2 linked regions of the Mytilus edulis genome follow. The protein of the gene in region 1 interacts with the protein of each later gene in a pairwise test. Links are inferred from orthologs where the notes say so. Each region holds a gene or a part of one and is shown in the gene's direction. Other genes may lie near its edges.

What was found. The genes of interacting proteins can lie anywhere in the genome.
Region 2: the proteins of WD repeat and FYVE domain-containing protein 2-like (region 1) and PRA1 family protein 2-like interact in a two-hybrid assay, tested with the Caenorhabditis elegans proteins (2 studies listed by BioGRID). The link is inferred for Mytilus edulis from reciprocal best matches to the Caenorhabditis elegans genes wdfy-2 and praf-3.

Annotation. Positions count from the first base shown.
Region 1 is NC_092346.1:51,581,023-51,588,100, reverse strand, and holds the start of WD repeat and FYVE domain-containing protein 2-like, read left to right. Parts: upstream 1-3,988; 5' UTR 3,989-4,024; coding exon 4,025-4,173; intron 4,174-5,434; coding exon 5,435-5,502; intron 5,503-6,472; coding exon 6,473-6,546; intron 6,547-7,078. UniProt on the Caenorhabditis elegans protein: Plays a role in coelomocyte endocytosis.
Region 2 is NC_092344.1:23,143,759-23,151,095, forward strand, and holds the start of PRA1 family protein 2-like, read left to right. Parts: upstream 1-4,318; 5' UTR 4,319-4,344; coding exon 4,345-4,523; intron 4,524-7,337. Other genes in the region: uncharacterized protein, read left to right, coding at 1,455-1,982.

The DNA of each region.
Region 1 (7,078 bases):
TGTTATTCATTTTTTTTGTATATATATATACATGTACCAGTTATCTTATTATAATTAATCATTTTCAATTATGTTTGGTATATGGACAGAGTGTAAGGTGTACATATCAGAATAGCAGGTTTTATTTGACTTTGATCTCTTTTCGTGGTTTATTGGTCAATGTTAAGTTTCTGTGTTATGGTCTGTTTCTTCGATACAAAAAACAATGGGTCCACTATATTTGGTAAATTAAATGATTGTTATGTGTACATATAAAAAAGAAGATTGCCAATGAGACAACTCTCCACAGGAGACCAAAATGACACAGAAATAAACAACTATAGGTCACCGTACGGCCTTCAACAATGAGCAAAGCCAATACCGCATAGTAAGCTATAAAAGGCCCCGAAATGTCTGTTTGGCAGAGTTCATCAGACCTTGACATACTTTTCATGGTCCATTAGACAATTTTACGTTTTCATGGTTATAATGTCTTTTTTTCAAATACTATATGTATAGGGATGAAAGTGGCATTAAACACCAAAATACCAATAAAATCAACCATCGTGTATTTCAGACGTTTCCTACACCTATTTTGGTTTGGTAAACAAGAATTTATGAACTGGAATTTTAATTTGACTAAAGTAATGTTTTGCAAAACATATATGTTACTATCTTATTGTATTATGACTGATATATTTGTCATTGGACATGATGCAGCGTCATCAAATAAAACGTCTTTTTGAATGCCTTGTATATAGAATCTTTTAATTGGAATTTCAAATTAACTAAAGCAATGTTCTGCAACACATTTATGTTGCTATCTGTATGTATTATGATTAATGTATTTGTCGCTGGACACGAAGCAGCTACATCAAATGAAAATTCTTTATGAAAGTCTTGTGGATTAGATACATTTATTGAGAAATATTCTATAATGATAGCTATACATTTTGTAAAAAGAGGTACATGACAAATAAGTATAACAAGACTACGATGTAGGATTGCAAGGGTTATAAGCATGATATGTTGGGCCTACGTTTTTTAAAATATCTTTTATCTACATGCTAGTTTGTTTTATGTTATGTGTACATGTTATATGTCTTACTTCTCCCTTCCCTGATACTAATGAGGGGCCTGATTTGAGGGGGGGGGGGGGTCTCATCACGATTCACGAGTTGATTTTTTTTTCAATCACGATTCACAGAAAATAAGTTTCCATGATCACGGATCACGAAAATATAAAAAAAAAATCTGTAGAAAAACGGCTCACGACAGGCCTGAAATGCGCCGATCAAGAAGAATGAAAATAACCCATCAGGTCCCCGGATCACTACTTTACAACACATGTTGAAATAATCTCAGCTTCATCTTATATGAGAGTCTATATGGGGTTTAGAGAACTTAGTTATGAATAATGGCAAAAAAAAATGAAGAGAGAAAAAAATGGCAAAATATTAAAGGATAGAGAATAATCATGTGGTAAATTGAAACGGTGGAATTACAAAGTAAAATAAAAGAATTAATTTAAAAAAGACAATACTGATTACAAAAATAAATGTTGTACAAAATAAAAAAAATCATCTAATTACAGAACACATCTTTTTTCATCGGATACACTTAGAAGGAATTAAACGTCTTATTTTTAAAGATAAAGAAAAATGCCCCAAACAGTTAAAGAAGTTTAGAACCTCCCCATCAAGATGCTCTTATATGATAGGCCTATATCAGTCAGATAAATAGCTTATTTTTTCTATTGATATAGCGAGAGACATAATATATCTATAGATATATGTGTGTGCAGATTCTTGTCTCCGAAAAACACTCCGTATATATATTTAAAGGCACATATTAGCTACGACATATATAAAAAAAATCTAGTAAGAATTGTGTTTGTTCAATCATTACTAAAAGTAAAATAGTGAAATAATAATTCGCCTTGAGCAGCCAATTTGGGGTCAAGCTTGTCAAAATAAGCACATAAACATCACTGGTGAATTATTCACTTGGAAGGGAGTGATTCGGCCTTATTGAACCAGTACTGATATGAGTTAAGCGCCGTTATAGCCGGAGATGGGTTACGTAGCTCAGTATTAAAATGAAAAGAATCAGTGTACAGGCGCGTAGCAACCCGTACGCAAAAACGCAGTTGCGTACACATCGAAAATTTGACAAAAATAAAAATATGATAAATCTAGTTAGAATAAAACTTAAGTAATAGAATTAATTATAAAGTGTTATAAAAATATGTTAATAGTCACTTTGTAACTATATTTCGTTCCGGAAACTAGTTTTCTCTTTACATTTTCGGGACCAGCATCGTGATTGTGCTGCTGATGCAAACAATTAAAATAGCTGAGTCCTCGGGGTTTCAGAATACAATAAGTGCGTCTACTATGCCTCCTTACCCTGAAATATTTTCTGAAGATTTCAAAATGACTGATGAAATAAAACGTGATGTTCTATAATAGGGCAATATTTTTGCAACCTATTCGCCGTTTTTTTTTTACGATCAACGTGTTTTTTACTTGTTTATCTTATGTTCGGTCCTGCAAGATGGGTGCCTCGTCCATTTAATTATACGTGTCTTGAGATTAAAAGTGCTTATTCTCCATGTGCAAAATTTTAAGTCCTTGTTTTCCTTGCTTTGTTAAAATTAAACGATCGTTTTTGGAAGTTGATAAAAAGAACTCAGATTTAGTTTTGAAGTTTTTCCTTGTAGATTTTGGGACTTTAAAAGTATTTATACAAATGTAAAGTTAAAGGTTTCCAAACTATGATGTTATAAACAAGGATTTATACCCGGAAATCTTTAAAATACTTAACATATAATATGCATGTATGTCGGTATGGACGACAACGATAGAACACTCTTTCAGTACCATGAGACGACTAACGAAATACAATGAAATCCATTCCGTTTATCTGGGCTTGTTCTATTGAACATATACCACGAAAAACAAATTTTAACAGACACGGTTTTGGATAACTGGAAAGGAAATGGTCATTGTTTCAGAACTAACTTTGAAAATTAAAAGCTAAAAGAAAGACTGCTTGTTCTCTTATAAAATAAAACAGAGAAATGTGATTCGATTTATTTATGTATTTTCTCAATAAAAAAAAATACCCTTTAAGGCTTAGAAATTTGGATTTTCTCAGTGAATGAATAGTAGGTTGAGACTGATTAGGTAGCAATTAAAATATATGGTGGTGACACTATATATTTTAATTGTTACCTAATATATAAATAAGCACTACCCACTACACATTAGAAGTTTTTTTTCTCTATTTTTTTTTCAAATTTAATTATTTTCAAAAGTTGACTTGTTACTCATGAAAATAAGATTTCTGTGAGGTCATTTTCAGTCCCAGGAAATCGCGAGAATGCAGGATTTTGCACCATTTACTCTAGAGCTTCTGTGGCCCCAGACTCCTCGCCGTATGACTTCTTTCCCCGGCATTGCGTACACATCATTTTGGCCTAGCTACGCCCCTGGTGTAAACATTGAAAGTGAAACCATTTGTTTCACTGAATCGATCAACAAAAAATCATCATTATTCAGGTAAAAACGTTCAAGGTGATAAACATACCTTAAACCTACATTATGAAATCTAATAGACCTAGAAAAACTAATTGCATGTGGTCGTTATCTATTTATAAGTTATGGCAATGGGGTTATATGACCGTTGACAGTCCTCGGGGTCATCTCGATGAGGTACTATAGTATAAACAAAATTATACCGTGACGAAATGTTGATGCATACACTGAAGTTTATAACAAGTCAATTCAGTGTTAATTGTTTATCAAAGTTTACGGAGACATTTTATGATTGGATACTTTGATTCGTTGTAGGATGTTATAGATCAAATATGAGAACTTGGGTCAAGTGAACATGAATTTACAGCCAATGTCTCTTTAAAAAGTTAACCATTTGGATACTGAGGAATTTATGACCGGAAACTTTTCATCGCTGTTTCTAACAAATTTGTTTTTATACTGACAATTCTATAAATAGAATTTAATTGTCACGTGATGATAACAAAATGGCAGCAGAAATAAAGCCATCACAAAATAAGCAAGGAAACACAAGAAAACCTGTTCTAATAAGTAAATTAGAAGGTTTTCAAGATGACGTCAATATGGCAGTTATAATCCCTCGGGAAGACGGAGTTGTCACTGTCAGCGATGATAAGTAAGCTGTGCTCAAAATTTGACAGGTGCCCGTTGTGTACATTGTTCATTATAGCCAATCCAATCCGGAAGCTGTTGCTACCAAGTACAAGCATCGTCACCATTTACGCCTCTTGTTACAAATCTAAATAAACTTGATGCTTTTGCCTTGAATAACACTTATTAAACCTACTGTACCGTGTTCATTTGGTTTTGATAAAAAAAAATAAGGGGTGGGTACTGTTTTCAAAGTTATGCTCATTGATGCTTTTAGCCTTTATGATTGTTTGTATGTCTATATATACAAATGTATCAGTTTTATTAATGTTTGTCACTGTGAGACATAATTGTTCAGTGACATAATAGGTTCGCCATAGGACATTTTAACCACTGTCCTTATTTATTTGATTTTTTGTATGCCTGCACCGTTGGGCAGCGTAGCAAACTTTTACTCTTCTCCCTGCATCCCATAATTGGTTTCTGTTCTCTAACTTTAGTTTGCCTCAACATCATGTTATAAAACTTATACACAATGCCCATGTACACAAAACACAGATCAAGTTTGAGATTTTAGTGGCATCATTTTTACCATTCTCGGGTTATGTCCCTTTACAAATGTAAAAAATGCTGATTTTTGTTTGTTTCTGCTCTCTCATGAACTAATTGAAACCTATAGACAATGCTTAACAGTTCTTGAGTTATGAACCTATATAATGTTAAATTTCTGTAATTTATAAAGAAGTTATGATAAAGATATTTAATGAAAAACAATGAAATTTATGACATCTGACAACCATTGACAAAGTTCCTAACTTGGGATAGGCACTTATCTTAACTATAGTTAAGTTTTATGAAATCTCAACCCTGTCTCCTTAATCTTTACCAGTAGATTGTATGATAGGTACATACAGGAACATACAATAAAAATAAGGAAAGGAAAAGCACTATACAATAAAGCAAAGAGAAATGTTTAAGTCACTACAGGAAGGTTGTGAATGCCAACAAGATTTGCCGTAATCCATTTTATTATCAAACTTTATGGGAAAATTAATCAGGAAGAAATTTTTCTGTTGGTTTAGTTTTTACAGTTTTAATAGACATGTTAAGAGATGCATTGAATCAAAAAGAGACCAAAGCAGAAAGGAAAAGTTTCACTTTTGGCCAAATATGGCCTTGAATTTCGAGTTTGTCATGAATTTTCAGTTTAGATTATTACAATTTCTGGAGAATAATTTTCTGTAGGAAAACTAATAATTTATTCTTAATTTTTTTTTTATCTTCAGGACATTAAGAGTATGGTTAAAAAGAGATACAGGACAGTATTGGCCAAGTATTTGTCACACATTGCCTTGTAAGTTGTATAAAATGAAATATTAGTGTCACTTCAGATTTGACAGGCTTCACCTCTGTATAAATTTGATGTAGCTAACAATGTTCTAGATCTCTTCTAGACTACATTCAGTAGTTAATTCCATCATCCACAATATAGATTAACTAAAACAAATGTGTGTACCAAATAAGAGATACAATGCATGGTGATTGATTGATTGATGACTAATTTTGAATATTTATTCCATAACTTTTGTTGTTCAAATTTGAGAAGGTAAAGGTAAAACTAAAAAAACTAAAAAAATATGAGTTTCCCTTTTTTGGAAGAATGAACAGTTTAAAATCTTTTTAGAAAAAAGGAGATGGGGTATGATGGCCAATGAAATAACTCTCCAAAGGAAACCAAATTACACAGAATTAACAACTTTAGATCACAGTATGTCCTTCAACCATGAGCAAAACCCATACCGCATAGTCAGTTTTAAAAGGCCCAAAAATGGTAAAAGTAAAACAATTCAAACGAGAAATTTAGCAGCCAATAATTGTGTACAAAAACAACTTTAGAAAATTATTTTTGGAAATTTGGCTGACTTTAAAAATCAAAACATGTTACTAAGCGAAAAGTAAGCATTCTTGTATACAAATTTATAATCACTGCATGAATAGGTATGTGTAGATTTTGATTATTGGAAAGCTACAAAAGAAGACTGCCTCTGGCCTTTGTTAGTCTTGTATTATTTTTAATTTTAGTTTCTTGTGTACAATTTGGAGTTTAGTATGGCGTTCATTATCACTGAACTATTATATATATTTGTTTAGTGGCCAGCTGAAGGACACCTCCGGGTGCGGGAATTTCTCGCTGTATTGAAGACCTTTTGGTGACCTTCTGCTGTTGTCTTCTCTATGGTCGTGTTGTTGTCACATTCCCCATTTCCATTCTCAATTTTATTGTTATTTTAAGATAAATGCATAAAATATGATAATTGTTACAGCTGAGGCAGCATCATTAACATACAATGGAGAAACAAGGAGACTATTTGTTGGATTAAATAATGGAACTATTTCAGTAAGTATATGTATCAAATCCTCATATAATGTGCCCATTCAATGTTAAAGTATGTTATTGCGAACCCTATCATAGTTTTCCATAGATTCACCTGCAAGTTACCTGTCCATTTAAACTTTTGTAAGTTCTATTGTCCCATTGAACAAATACAACAGGTATTGTTCTCTGTATAGTTTATTTGATGCGACCTTTAAATTTCTTCCAAGAGAAATCTATCACTCATTGATTAATTTACCTGATTAAAAAAAAATTCTTCCAAATAAATGAAAATACACTTGTAATTGTTCAATATACCCTGGTTGTTGTTTTTTATTCTTCATTCAAAACTGAGGTTTTGTTATGTTTTCATGAAAGGATGTCAATAGTGTATTTATTAGGACAGAAATCAATATAATAGATGCCCAAGGTGTATGAATGTATGTTTTTTGTTTATTTTTCAAATTTTGTAAACCAACTTATTTTCACAAATAGTTATTTATCTCAACTTATTCCTTTTATGTTGATTTCTCAGCTATGTATCTGAATAGATTAA
Region 2 (7,337 bases), on another chromosome or scaffold:
AATCTGGCAATTCTTACTCTTTTATGTAGTAAGAATACACCAATAAGTAGTTTGTATGTATTTAACTTGCTGGAAAAGATATTTTGAAAATTTAACTTTGCCATGGTATTTTGACCCCCCTGCGGTATATTGAACCCCCTACTCTAGACCTTTAATTTCCAAAAATCTGGCAATTCTTACTCTTTTATGTAGTTAGAATTCACCAATAAGTAGTTTGTATGTATTTAACTTGCTGGAAAAGATATTTTGAAAATCTTACTTTGCCATGGTATTTTGAACCCCCTGCGGTATACTGAACCCCCTACTCTAGGCCTTTAATTTCCAAAAATCTGGCAATTCTAACTGTTTTATGTAGTTAGAATTCACCAATAAGTAGTTTGTATGAATTTAACTTGCTGGAAAAGATATTTTTAAAATTTTACTTTGCCATGGTATTTTGACCCCCTCCCCCTTTTTTTACCATGGAAAATCAAAACTACCCTTATATATATATATATACATATGTTATAATTACAAATAATTAAAGCATTCAAGCTACATATGGTCTAGTTATAATGTGTCAGTAAGTATTTTGAATGACATTTTGTTGGTAAAGACTTCAGAGCACTTATACCAAGCAAAGATATTTCTTTTAATTAAGCATTGAAAATGTACCTCCCTTGCTTGTATGAATGATTTTTTAATCTATGATGAGCTTTAGAATAATGTAAAATGTTCTAATATTCATCTAGGATGAAAAAAACAGGGGGGTTCAATTTACCATGGGGGTTCAATTTTCCATACAGGGGGGGTTCAATTTACCATGGGGGGGTTCAATTTACCATAGCGGTATTTTGACCCCGGGGTCAATTTACCATGGGGTTCAAAATACCATATGACACCGGCATAGTCTATGGTCCGCAAATATAAAAAATCATCAAAAAGACCTTAGGAGGGTATCAGGTCCGTTTGCGCCCAATATACTTTCGCACCCTACACGTTCGCACCTCGCACGTACGCACCCAAGGTCCGTTCGCTCTCTACACGTTCACGCCCAATTTTAATTCAAATTCCAGTTGAATAATTGGAAAATCATAGATTGTTGTTTTTAATTGCTTTCGTGTAAATACTGAATATATTTATAGCTTGGTATGAGTAAAAGATTGAAGATTCTGAAACAATAAAATATAGCAATACACTATTATAACCAAAACATGATAAAATTTATTCAACACACACAAAAAAAAAAAAACGTAGTCAGAATCTCACTTCATTTTGAATCAAGTCAATGAAACAAAGTTACAGCAATACACTAACCAAAACATGATTAAGAGTTATTCAACACAAAATTAAACGTTGACAGAATCCCACTTTATTTAGAAAGGAATATCATTTTTATCACAATACACTATCCAAAACATGATTAAGATTTATTTAACACAAAAAAAAATGCTGTCTCACTTTATTTTGAGACAATGAAAACAATAATACTTATAAGAACTATAAAAATTGAAGAACCATCAGAAGTAACCAGGCAGGATATAAAACGTGCAGCAAGAGAAAGTGTTTTAAGAAAATGGCAGAACCAATGGGAATCAAGTCAACGTGGCAGAAATTATTATAACTATCATCAAAAAGTTTGTCAAAAAATACCAAAAGATTTACCATCCAAATGGTCGTTTTCAATTATTACTAGTTTGAGAACAGGTTATTGTGATCTAAATGATTACAAATCCAAAATCATACCATCAACAGACAAAAATTGTTCCTGTGGAGAGCCAGAAACTGTAGAACACTACCTTTTACATTGTTCTAACTATGAGGAGGCTAGAGAGAGGATGAGAACATCTATTTACTTCATAACAGGAAATATACATATGGATTTAGACACCTTTCTAGGAATCGATGAAGAAGACATTAATAGAGACAATCGAAATGAGATATTGTGCCATCTGGAAAATTATTTAACGGAGTCTGGTAGATTCAAAAACACTATACAGTAAAAAACACTATAATTCTAAATCAAAATTAAGTCAAAATTTTTTAAGCAGCAGCCACCATTTCAATTAATTACATGAGTGAACATTACATATGCAGGGCCGTAACTACATTGAGGCAAATGAGGCAAATGCCTCATGTTTGAAATTTAAAAAAAAACCAAAAAAAAAACAACCTGAAACAAAAAGATTGTCAAATTGTTTTGACGGAAAGTGTCAGTCTTGCAAGAAGCCAGTTCTCTTCACTATCTGGTGTAGCCCTTCATGTTTTTCGTGATCCATGTTTCTATTTTACGTTTAGTTATCAGAGTTGATGGTCTATTATTGTGTGTACTTCTATGTCCCGTGTTTGTCTTTTGTTAATTTATTGTCCTACTTAATGACTATAGTCTGAGTGTTGATTTCATTTGTAAACGTGTAGTTTTGCAATGTTGCATGCCAACCGATGTCCAGACAATGTGCGAGAAATTTTAAGAATATATGATGCTACAAGACACAGAAATGAATCTTTGTTTCTGCATGGAGAATTGAACTTGAAATCAAAGAGAACAAAACTGGCTTTTTTCGTAGATAAAACTAGAAAGCTGACATGGTTGAAATTGAAATATGGTTACCAATTCCACGGTATCAAAAAAATTGAAAAAAAAACAACAGCAATGTATTGCCATATGACCTTTTACATTGAAGGGTTACCCTTGCATTAAGTCATGTTCAGACTCTTTTAAGAGAAAAAAAGGAATATTGAGTACACGTGCACGGAACCTAATCGCACACAATGTCAATGTATAGAAAAATACGAATGATCAATTGTTAAAGTTTAATTCCTGTTCTTTATCTTGATAGTTGCTGGATGGTCTCCAACAATAAAAGAATCATTAAAATCGTAAAACAAGATCAAGATGGTCCCTAGTGTCGACTTTAACAGTACTAGTACTTAAAGTATAATACTGCACTGTCACTATATTTAAATCTAGTCATAAAAAAATCACCAAAGTCTAAGTACAATACAAGACAGACAGATTCGGTATTAAGGATTATGAGAATTACGATTTTTGCTTTATTCATCATATATATATCGATCTTTTTTTAATGTTATCCCTAAAACCTGAAAGTCTTAAAATACAATGATTTTTTGTTATTGCTATGAGACCAGAATATTGTTGAAAAAATAGCTCAGAATGCACGATTTTGCATTATTTTTCTCAGAGCGTCTGGGGGCCTTCAGCGCCCCCCCGACTCCTAGCCAAAAATTTTTCGCCTCGCTACGCTCGGCGAATGTTTTGCCTCACTTGTAAAAGAGGCTAGTTACGCCCTGATATGTGAAGAAACTACAAAAGAGGAAACGTAAACAAGTGTTTACAGTGTCATTTGGGACACTTACTAAAGACTAAAGATTGTACTTGCCAAAACTTGATTACAAAGTTATTAAACACAAAACTAATTAAAATTGGGCGCGAACATGTAGGGTGCGAACGGACTTTGGGTGCGAACATGTAGGGTGCGAAAGTGAAAAGGGGCGAACATGAGTGGGTGCGAACGTGAATGGGTGCGAACGGACCCGGATTCCCTTAAGAGCAACATAGCTAATTCCAGATCAAAGATAGGTGCAACTTTGAAAAGAAAGCTGAAAATATCAGATTAGGAAAGAATACAGGATATCTTGTTCCCTAGAAAAAGCTATATCTGCTTCGTATTTCACATGTACCTGTTTTTTCGTTTTCTCTGTTTTTATGATTCTTTTACCGGTTGTTGTTACTTGTTTTCTTGAATGTCATAACAAAGATCGAGGTGTTTCAAACGTTAATATCATTCGGATGCTATTATTGACAAGTAGCTCACACGATTTCAGAAGTGGCTACATCGGATGTCATCAGTAGTAGTACAAAGTTAATAAAAAAAATTGAAACAAAATTTAACCACAACGTACATAAATTTAGGCACTATACAGTTGCGTTCCAGTACTATAATTAAGCTTGATTTGAAATAAAAATTATCATAATATATTTATTTTGATCTAGTATTTATTGTGTAGTTATGTTTTGTAAGAGAACCGTTTTATCATTTTGTTAATTTTTGAAAAGTTGTAGCGTTTTGTTATTTGAAATGCTGTACAAGAATTTGTTGTGCAGTATTTGATTCTATATGGATACAATCTCAAAGTGTATAGTTTTTTAAATTGTTGCTTATATCATAACAAACAAATTAAAAAAATATATATATTCATATTTGCTTAATAAAAAAAATTCAAGCCTTTTGTTTATTTATTTTTAAAAATATTTGTACAAAAATAAAATAAACATAACATGTATTTCACCATTTGTATCAGTGTTGATATTTTAAAGCTCCAAGCGGCCTCTAAATTGACAGCATGGCTGAAGTACAGATTGCTCCTCTCCGTTCCATGAGTGATTTTGTATTGGACTCTGCTAGATTTCAAGTTCCTAACATCAAAGACGCAGAGAAATGGGCGAACAGAGTTCTGAACAATCTATTGTATTACCAGACGAATTATTTTCTGGTAGCTTTGATCGTCTTTTTATTGATTGGGTATGCATACAAAATCATTTAAAAAAAATATTTGTGAAACCGGTTATACTTTTCACCTTTTATATTTGTTTCAACTGATATTTGTATTGTCTTTAAACATGCGATCCAGCGTCTTAAGAAGACTTAACTTGTTAACCAGTCAGGGACTTACTTAAAAGTGATTTTCTAAATCACTGATTCAAGTAAATTGAGTAACAAAAAAAAAAACTAACATTACATTGTATGTCCACAAAGGTTGGAAGTAAGAGTTGTCTTTCTTTAATTATCACCTTTTTCAAGAAGTTCAAATAATCACTACACTACATGGTTTAATCTCATTCAGGGGTTTCATGATCTTTCATGTCGACTGGTACTTTCCCAAGGATCTCCATGGCCTGTTTAACGATGGCGCCCCACCATCGTTCAAATGTCTTGCGCCACTGTCAAATGACTCGCGCCATCGTTATATTGTCTTGCGCCATCGTTAAAATGTCTTCCGCCGTCTTTCAAAACTTCATCGTTTTTTTGTAGCCAGACGCCATTTTTTTATCAATTATAATCAAATGCATGTAATTGCATAACCCTTAGGCTTTTTATGTTATAATCCAATACAGTTCTAACGCCTGAGGGATATCTGGATTAAGATCGCTAATCACTTGTAATGTAACTGAGCTTGTACAGGTACATGTAGATCAACAAACCAGACAGGAGAATACTATCTGAGGATAGACGATCCATTTGTCGAATTAATCAACTAAGTTGCAGCAAATGATTATGATAATTTAGATTAAATAAATAAATTAATAATCCAGTTACAAAGAAAACAGTTTAAAAAGTCGAACACATGCTTTATTTTGACTTACGCAATCAGCATCCCTCTTTTTTAAGAAGTACAAAATAAGACGCAAAACAGTGAATATTATTTCATCGTAAATAACTCGAGTACTGCTGTAACAACAATTTAGAATTACAAGTTTAAAAGTAAAAACTTAAATATTTCCTGTGAAGAAATATCGTATCGCAATTCAGAATTCATTTCGTTTATTACAATCAAATTGATACATACGCGTTTCCGGTTTCTATTCAGATTCGAAAGATGCATGTTTCACAGCATCAATTTGCCAGATAAAGTCATTAAAAACCTTAACATTTGTCAACGTTTGCTTTACAAATCTCTTTAACTCTTAACATAACCCGTACGAACCGTTTTGTTAATTTGTTGCTGCAAATCAGCCATACCGGTAATGGGTTCTGAATTTGACAGTGTCCATGAAAAATAAGCTCCACATCATATGATTTTTAGCCCCCATAACAATTACCAAAAATACAAGAAATCTACATGGGGACCTTCATGACAGCTTTTGGTCATTCTCGACTAAGGGGGGACCATGAAGACTTGGCATTTGAATGGTTAAAAACGGCAATGAATGAAAATATTGATACTTCTAATTCTATAATGAAAGTTCAAATAAATCTATACTATTAAACGAGAAGACCTCATTTTGGGTGTCGCTTCTCTTCCTTCCACAATAAATCAATCATCATGCCTCTGTGTCCTATAGGTAACATGCATAGTCGCATTTGTCATCCATTCTTATGATTATTCAGATTGAGTTATTTTGGGAGAAAAACGACAAAAAAGGAGTCCGGATATGATTCCGTCATCAGACTGACTTTTAGTCATAGATAAGACTTCCGGTTTGAAACATGCACAAACACAACCAATCTTATGATAGATAACAAAAAATGAAAAATAAATAAGCCTATCAAATCGTTCTCCATGTCATGGTGTTTAGATCGCAAGAACCACAACTATTATAATACCTCCTTATAGAGGACAATTATTTTTCGCGTTTATCTACATGTAAACTACAATTATACTACTTTAATATATAGAGACTCTCTGTATTCTGTCTACTGTTTTTCTTTCAATTGTTTACTATTTAAGGGGTCATACCAGTTGCATCTATACTATTAAACGAGAAGACCTCATTTTGGGTGTCGCTTCTCTTCTTTCCACAATAAATTAATCAACACGCCTCTGTGTCCTATAGGTACAGTGCATAGTCGCATTTGTCATCCATTCATATGATTATTCAGATTGAGTTATTTTGGGAGAAAAACGAGAAAAAAGGCATCCGGATAATGTCCCGTCATTGGACGAAATTTTAAGTCAGATTAGACTTCCGGTTTGTGTTTTTCTGTATACATGTACTTTGAACAAATATACAAAGAATAAAGTGTATTTTCAGAATTCTATCTGCTATCATTTTCAAGTTTACTATCTACGGCGATCACAGAGTTTATTAAAAAATAATAATAATAAATAGAGAGGGTCTGTATACTCACGTGTGTTTACTATACCAATGACCACCATGAATCGATTAGTAAACTTAGAATTGAAAGTAAATAAACTATATTTATATAGTTACTGTAATGAATGTTCATAATATACAGATAAGCGCTATAAATATTCATGTGAACTTTTGATACCTTTTCTAAAATTCTCCAGTCATTAAATCTTTTACAAAATTCATTGATTACAAAAGAAAAAGAAGATGTGGTATAATTGCCATGTTGAGACAACTCTAGATAATCGCTAAAAATATTCATGTGAACTTTTGATACCTTTTCTAAAATTCTCCAGTCATTAAATCTTTTCATTGATTACAAAAAAAAAAGAAGATGTGGTATGATTGCCATGTTGAGACAGCTCTCCACAAGAGACCAATATGACACAGAAATTAACAACTATAGGTCACCGTACGACCTTCAACAACGGGCCTTATTTGTGCACAAAAAATGAACGAAAAACGAATATGTAACACATAAACA